2 linked regions of the Caenorhabditis elegans genome follow. The protein of the gene in region 2 interacts with the protein of the main gene of each other region in a pairwise test. Each region holds a gene or a part of one and is shown on either strand. Other genes may lie near its edges.

Region 1 (4,984 bases), on a different chromosome or scaffold from region 2:
AAAACCGAATTTTTAAATTTCAATATTATTGCAGCTCTCAACGAGAAGAAAGCAGAAGTTCGTATACAATTCAAAGAAGTCAGTGGAGATATCTATCCGTCTGGTGAATTAAAGCGATCCGAATTAGTGATGAGAGTGCAACCAAATGAGGCAGTTTACATGAAACTGATGACCAAGAAACCTGGAATGGGATTCGGTGTTGAAGAAACTGAACTTGATTTGACTTATAATAATAGGTTAGTTTTTGAAATTTCTCTTCAAAAAAAATTTCATTGTGATAATTTCAGATTCAAAGAAGTCCGTCTTCCTGATGCTTATGAACGCCTATTTCTCGAAGTATTCATGGGATCTCAAATTAATTTCGTTCGAACTGATGAGCTTGAATACGCTTGGCGTATTTTGACGCCAGTTCTCGAAGAGCTTAAAAAGAAGAAAGTTCAACCGGTTCAATATAAATTTGGAAGGTTGGTTGTGTTTCTTTTTTTTTAAAATTAAATACAGTAATCCAATTTTTCAGTCGTGGTCCAACTGAAGGTGACGAATTGATGAAAAAGTACGGTTTCATCTTCACTGGAACATACAAATGGGTTGCTCCAAAGCTATAAATGATACCAGATCTTCCTCTATTCATTCTCTTTCAAATGTTTGTAGAAATAACTTCAAAAATTCAGCAGCTACTAGTTCATATGTTTTCCTGTGTTCCACATCAATATTATTCCTGCTCTTTTTTCATTTGTTAATGTTCTATTGAATGAATGAAAATAAATACGTTTTCAGTTAAAAGAAGTGTAGAACGATAAGATAAGCCAGTAAAAAGGCTTATTTTAAATAATCTGTATTCAAAAAATAATCATTTTTTCGACAAGCCGGTTACGGTGCGCCAGTCCGCAAACACTCTGCATACACTCTACTTCTACAGTAGTGGACGTGCGACGCGTGTTGCGTCGCGCATCATCATATTGTTCAATTCTTGTTCAAGTTCAATCATATTTTCTTCGGATTTCTATCATTTTCCATCGGATTTCCCATCATTTTTGCACAAATGTTTTAAAGTATCAATATCTTTGATTTAAAAAAAAACGTCTTTCTTGTTTTACGTCTTTTTCTTGCTAGCTGCACATCGTATTACTCATTCTTTTTTTCAGCCATGGTTGCTGCTTCCGCTACCCGGAACATGCTCCAATCATATGGAAAACGTGGAATTTACGTTTCACTTGCTGTCGCTGTCGTCTCGACTGCCGCATTCAACGCATTTTACGTTTGGCCACGTCACAACAAATATGAAGAGTTTTTCGCGTCAGTGTGATCCTCGCACAAGTGTCTCCCGGGCAACGAGCAAACTTGCAGAAACTACGATTCGTACACTCGAATGAAAGAGATTTGTTCTGCTAACAAGGGGTACATGCATACTTGTCCAAAGGAATTGGCGAAATTGTACGAAGAGAAAGGGAAAGTTGTTGCCGAGCACTAAATGTTTGATAAATTATTCATAATAATACAAGTCAATAAAGTCTATCATTTCTTTATTCAGTTATTTGTTTTATTCTTGATCAGTACTTTGTGGTTTGTACCACATTCATATATTTTTATCTAAAATTTTCTATCCACGAAAAACCTCCCTTTATAGATAAAAATGGTCGAGAATAAGAGTTCGTACGAACTGCCTGATCAAAAAACTCTTGATATGAACAAAGAATGGGTGCAGGAGCTGGAGGATGTGAGTTTCCAATTGTTTAGCTTATAAATATATTTTATTTTTTATTTCAGATTTTCTACAGCTACAAGAAGTACGATGTGAACAAGGTCAGAGTTCAGCAGTTTTTGGACAGAAGATCCGATTTCCTCGTCTATGACTTTTACACCTCTAACCTGTCAATGGAGTATGTGAACAATGTCACCTTTAATAACCTCATTTATACAAATTTTCAGTGCGATGCAGTATTTCCAAGCAGGTGTAACTCAAAAGGACGTCGGACTGAGCAAAGACTACATCCTGCTCATGCGTAAACTGTACAGTATGCTCACGGAGCCGAGCAAGCAGTTTTTCCAGGAGCAATTCGTTAAGGAATGGCAATATCACGAAATTGATTATACGCCATATTTCGAAACACTCGTTCCCCGATTCAGGGAGAAAATTGCGAGATTATTGGATGAAATTGTCAAAAATCCTGAAGAGGTCGACGACGATGTTCAGGAAGAGGTTGGATTTATAATTTTGAAACAAAGTTCATATTGATATTTCAGTTGCGCTGGCACCTGCTCTTCTCACCAGTCACCACTCTTCTGGACATTTTCACTCGATGCCTCAAGAACTTCGAAATCACTGGATTTTGTTTAAATGTGTGCCTAAAAGTGCCACAATTGTTCTTCGATCGTCCGCTGAAAATATATCACACTGAATACGAAACCGATCGCGTTGAATCACTCATGGCTCTGGTTTTCCGCAGATTGATTTTCAATAAGCGCTGGGTGGATACAAGTGACGAAGAGTGGAGCAATTTGGAACAACTCGCAAGGGTGATATGCTCAGGACAGGAACCCTCGTTGATGTCTGCATGGCCACTTCTGGAAGTGGTGCTTTGCGAACTCTACACTCAGAACAGAACTCCCATGATATCAGTGGAAGTTTTGAGCGAAATTGCTGTGAAAATTGTTGAAAACTTCGATAATTTGAAGTATGCCACGTCGGCGAGAACTAAACCAGCTGAGAATGTTCTTTTGACTCCTTCGATTATTTGTTTCTTGCTCAACATTATTGTTGACGAGAACGTATCGAATACAGTCATTGAAAACTGTAAAATGATTCTCAAGGCGATTGGTCAAAACATGGAGCAACCGTTCGATGCTGAAGCGAAGAGCTACTTAACTTCTAAGGTTTTGAAAGAATTTCCGTGGACCTTAGAATTCGCAATCTCAACGTGGTTCAAGGCTCTGGAAGTTGAGAAGCGACGCATTCCATCAGCAGTCTACAAAGCAATCAATGCAGAAATGAAGGAGACATTCGACGAAAGAACTTTCGATATCGAGGAAAGCGAAACTGTTGATCAATCGATCAATGAAGAAGACGAAGAACGTTGTTCGACTCTATCATCTGAATCTTCAGTGAAAACTGCGATATCTATTGACCATAAATCGGACACCGCTGTTGATAATCTGGAGATGAATCAACTGCATCTGAGCCCAAAGCCCAAGGCTTCTGTAGAGGCAGTGAAAAGCTGTAAGCCCGCTTTTGTCGCAGTGATATTCGAGGAAATTCCACCCGAAACTGATCAAAACATCTCAGTTTTTGAAGATCCAACAATTGAAGTTCTCACGGAATACCTCGATTGTATCATCACAATGGGAGTGTTCGACATCTCGTGCGCCGACGAACTCATGCGTCACAGTTCAGTCACGTTCGAATCCTCAGAACAACTGGAAAAAGTAATGAAGACGGCGTTTGAGGAGAATTTCGAGATCGCAAACGCTGGTCCACAGCGTATCAAAGAGATCTCTGGGAAGATTTTGGAGGTAATGTTTTGTCATTGTCACTAGGAAAGATTTTAATTTGAAAAATACACTGAAAATGAATGGAATGCTTTTTCGTCGTGTCTTTTCTGATTTTCTAACTTTACAGGTTTTCGGCTCAACCTCGTCGGAATCGGACCACGACCGTATCGCTTCATCGATCATAGAGCTCATTCCAACAGAAGAATATGAAAAGACTGGGCCAAGATGGAGTCATGATATAAAGAAATCGGAAATCATTCAGCCTCTGGTTATCCCAGTCGAAGCAACGTTGGAAAGCTGGCCACCAGCTGGTAAGAAAATATAATTCAAAAGTAATTATTATTTCATTAATAATTCTGATTTCTTGCAGAGTACCGTTACGTTGCTCCTGGTATCAAGGAATCTCGTGACTCTGCACGACATGAACGCCTACTACGCCAGCAACTTGCAACAACCAAATCTTTGGAAATGGCTCAACTTCATCGCGATTTGTGGGCGGAAAACGAGAAAAATATGGAGCATTGGACACGCCCAGCGTCCCCTTGCAATAGTTCATTTTTCGCTGAATCTAGCGTGAAGCCAACAACATCAAGTATGGATTTTAATGCTGATTTTTTCAATTATAATTATTGCAGGCGCATATGGCAACTCTTCGAATTTCTCTCGTTATGCAGACTGATCGTCTCTGAAACTTTCTTATAATGTTCCTTGTGTTCCTTTTGTTACTTTGTTGTTAATTTTTCGTTCTTGTTTTTTGTTGTAAAATGCTTTATGCAGGTTTTTACCTGACACTGATTTTGAGCCCACCAAGTCTTCGTGATGGAACTTCTACCCATTTCAAAGACTTCGGGATTAATTGTTTTCCCTCTGAATTTTTTATAATTTTTCCCGATTTATTCTACCTCACCGTGAACATTTTAACCCCTTAATTATCCCATGAGACCGCTCATTTTTATAAAATCGGTAGGACGCGAATTTCTTTGTTTATTATGGCATTGTGATATAGTGGGGGATGGGGTGGTATGCAGGGCTTAGCTCATGGTTTTCCTTAGTTTTCTGACCGATCGTCAAATATAGGTGAAAACTTAATAACAATATTGCATTCAGGGCTCGAATTTCAAGCAGACCGCTTATAAATGCAATACAAAATTTATTAAAATGGGATTGAAAAATTGTAATTATCGTAATTCTAGAATTTCCTCATACGTTTTCTGACAGAACATGGAAGGTAGAAAACTTTATAACAATATTGCATTCAAGCAAACAACTTATTAAAAATAAATGTAATATGAACTTTATTAAAAAATTTATTAATGGGAAAAAGTAGGATTTTGTATATTTGTGGCCCTAAAGAGGCCGTTGGGTTCGGTGGGTTTGTTTAAAGAAGAAAGTTCTTACTCCTTATCTCCTCCAGTCTTCTTTGGGAGAAGAACGGCTTGGATGTTTGGAAGAACTCCTCCTTGGGCGATGGTCACTCCGGCCAAAAGCTTGTTGA
Region 2 (2,535 bases):
ATTAGCTTCTACACAGCTGATAACATTTCACAAACCTTGCTCCAATAACCTGGTTAAAAGCGATTGCGTGCTTCTTCATCAAATCAATCTCTGGAACTGCAACTAATGGGCACATCACTTCGAACTTATCAATATTCCATTCTTTGTCGCCATAAACATTCTGAAGTTGTGTCAATTTTTATGGCTTTCTTTTTCCTTCAAACACGTACATATCTAACTTGAATCTTGAAGTTGAATTCCTCAACTGGGTTATCTATTAAAGTACCAATTTGAACTCTCATAGTTACTCTGAATACAAATCGATCGTACTCTCCACCAGTCAATTGCACCGCTGTGTGTTGCTTTTAAAAGGAAAATAAGAATGTTCTGTGAAACTTTATAGTTGTGATACTTACATCGCCTTTCACCGGATGATACATCTTCTGGAACCAGAGCCACCAATCGATAAAATTATACTTTCCGATTTTCTTCAACTCACTCCCGTGACACACTTGAATGTCGAGATCAGCAGATACACCGGTATAAGATAGCCAATTAAATGGGATTACAGACTCTTCTCTATCCATTGTGAATAGTTCATAGAAATGTTTGAATACTTTTTTCCTTGTATCAACTCTCTCTGGGTCAGTTTCATGAAGATCCAAAAATATATCAGTGTTTTCCAGATTCGTAACACCATACTCTGTACATGCTCCAACTTCTTCAATCCTTGTCAGTGTGTAGTTGCTGTATGGTTTTTCTCCGAGAAGTTCCATTTTAACAAGATAAGATATCTTTGAAGAGTACTCCCAAGTGGAATGTGCCATAAACGATACCAGGAATATATTGTCATTTATACTCTCCGTTGGAACAGGACTCCAGGAAACTTTCTGAAAAATAAAATGATATGTGAGTGTTTAAAATTACTGCCTACCTCTCCAGAATTTCTCCGGTACGTCCCTCGTTGTCGTTTCCAGAATTCAGCCATTTGATCTGGAATTCAATCTTTTTTTTAAATTCTGGACCAAAAACGGCAATACGCAATTGTAAAAGTTGAACTTACAGAAATTCAGCATTTCCATTCCACCGCATATCTTTCCCTCGAAGTTTATATCCATCAGACTATACAAAATATCAGCACTCTCTTGAAACTTATAATTGTGATTCGATGATTGTCTCAACAAGTGAAGAGCCACCAATTGAGCCGAATGATTTCTTGCAGCATCCACATCCTCCTGAGTCTTCCAATAAAACTTAAACCGTTGGATTAATCCATGTTCACTCAGCGAGAATCGTTTTCCAATTTTCTTGAAAATTTGTTGAGTCTTGTTCGATGTATCCGTAGTTGATATTCCAATAAGAAAGAACAGCGCAAGTTGAATAAATTTCATCTTTGTTGAAAAACTTGGTATTGTTTCATTTATTTGAAAATTGGATTTTTATCGAGATACAGTTTTCACGTAAATTGGTTGCAAAAAACTAGTTTATTTTTGTTTTACAATTAGAAGTATTTAAAATACATTTAAATAAACAAAATAACAATAAAATGAAAACGTAACCTCTCCTTAACTTCCTTATCAGTAAAGTTCATCAAAATGTTGATTTGTCCCCTTCCTTCTCCATATCCAATCATTCCCTTACATCTATTTGGTGATCAACTTTGTCTCCTCAAAAATAAGTCTACAAATGATCAACATCGATCCACCATCCGGCGACTACCCAGCTTCTGGTGGTTCATCAACTCACTACATTGTCTCCGAATCGGAATCTCGTTTGGCATTCAAAGTCAAGTCGTCCAACAATGAATCGTATCGTGTTCGCCCAGTCTATGGATTCGTTGATGCGAAGGGAAAGGCTAAGCTCGAAGTGAATCGTTTGGCTGGACCAGCGAAGGAGGACAAGCTTGTCATTCAATACGCCGAAGTTCCAGCTGATGAGACCGATCCGAAGGCTCCGTTTGCGGCTGGTGCTCAACAAGGAGAAGTCGTTGTCAAGATGGTTGCTAGCTAAGAAAGCTTACTTTATGGTACTTTTCATATGATAAAAATTTTTATGAGATTATTGATTTTAAATAAAATCATTTTTGTCGGTGTGGCGGGGTTTATAGCTTGTGTGCAAGTGAAAAGCTGTTAAAAATCGTAAATGCGCCTTGCCGGCGGTAGGCGGTAAGCGAACATGCCTACCTTCAATGGGAAACTCAATTGTCAGTAGTTGAGCTATTTTCAAAATGTTTTGTCGGGGACTTGTTTCAAATTTTGAGCGTTTTCAGAATTATATAACAAATTTTTTCTAGGAGACAAAAGCTTCCTGTTCAATCAAAAAACTGAGCTAAAAGTTTCTGAGACAAGTCTACTACGAAACATGAAAAAAAATTCTGTAGAATCGAATGTAATTCTATAATTGGAGTCTTCTTGTTTTTTGAGTTCGGTTTGACCAAAAACAGATGCACCCGATGAATCAGTTAAAGCTGAGTTTTGATTGATTGAAGTTTGAGGAGGCTTTATATTAGGAAAGACGTACCCATATTTTGTATAAAATTGAGTATTTCTATTCGAA

Evidence for each region. Proteins that work in one complex are often made in the same cells at the same time.
Region 1: the proteins of ssp-31 (region 2) and edg-1 interact in binary tests that used the Caenorhabditis elegans proteins (3 or more experiments, as listed by UniProt).

Annotation. Positions count from the first base shown.
Region 1 is NC_003282.8:11,319,173-11,324,156, forward strand, and holds edg-1 (Protein edg-1), read left to right. Parts: upstream 1-1,627; 5' UTR 1,628-1,633; coding exon 1,634-1,717; intron 1,718-1,767; coding exon 1,768-1,880; intron 1,881-1,929; coding exon 1,930-2,200; intron 2,201-2,244; coding exon 2,245-3,510; intron 3,511-3,616; coding exon 3,617-3,800; intron 3,801-3,859; coding exon 3,860-4,081; intron 4,082-4,124; coding exon 4,125-4,168; 3' UTR 4,169-4,464; downstream 4,465-4,984. Other genes in the region: gspd-1 (Glucose-6-phosphate 1-dehydrogenase), read left to right, coding at 35-236, 288-464, 518-605; B0035.18 (Mitochondrial cytochrome c oxidase subunit VIc/VIIs domain-containing protein), read left to right, coding at 1,148-1,296, 1,348-1,471; his-47 (Histone H2A), read right to left, coding at 4,884-4,984. UniProt on the Caenorhabditis elegans protein: Plays a role in regulating deps-1 cluster formation in the germline.
Region 2 is NC_003279.8:13,217,476-13,220,010, forward strand, and holds ssp-31 (Sperm-specific class P protein 31), read left to right. Parts: upstream 1-1,665; coding exon 1,666-1,989; downstream 1,990-2,535. Other genes in the region: ZK1225.5 (FSA_C domain-containing protein), read right to left, coding at 36-160, 210-341, 396-869, 914-972, 1,043-1,370.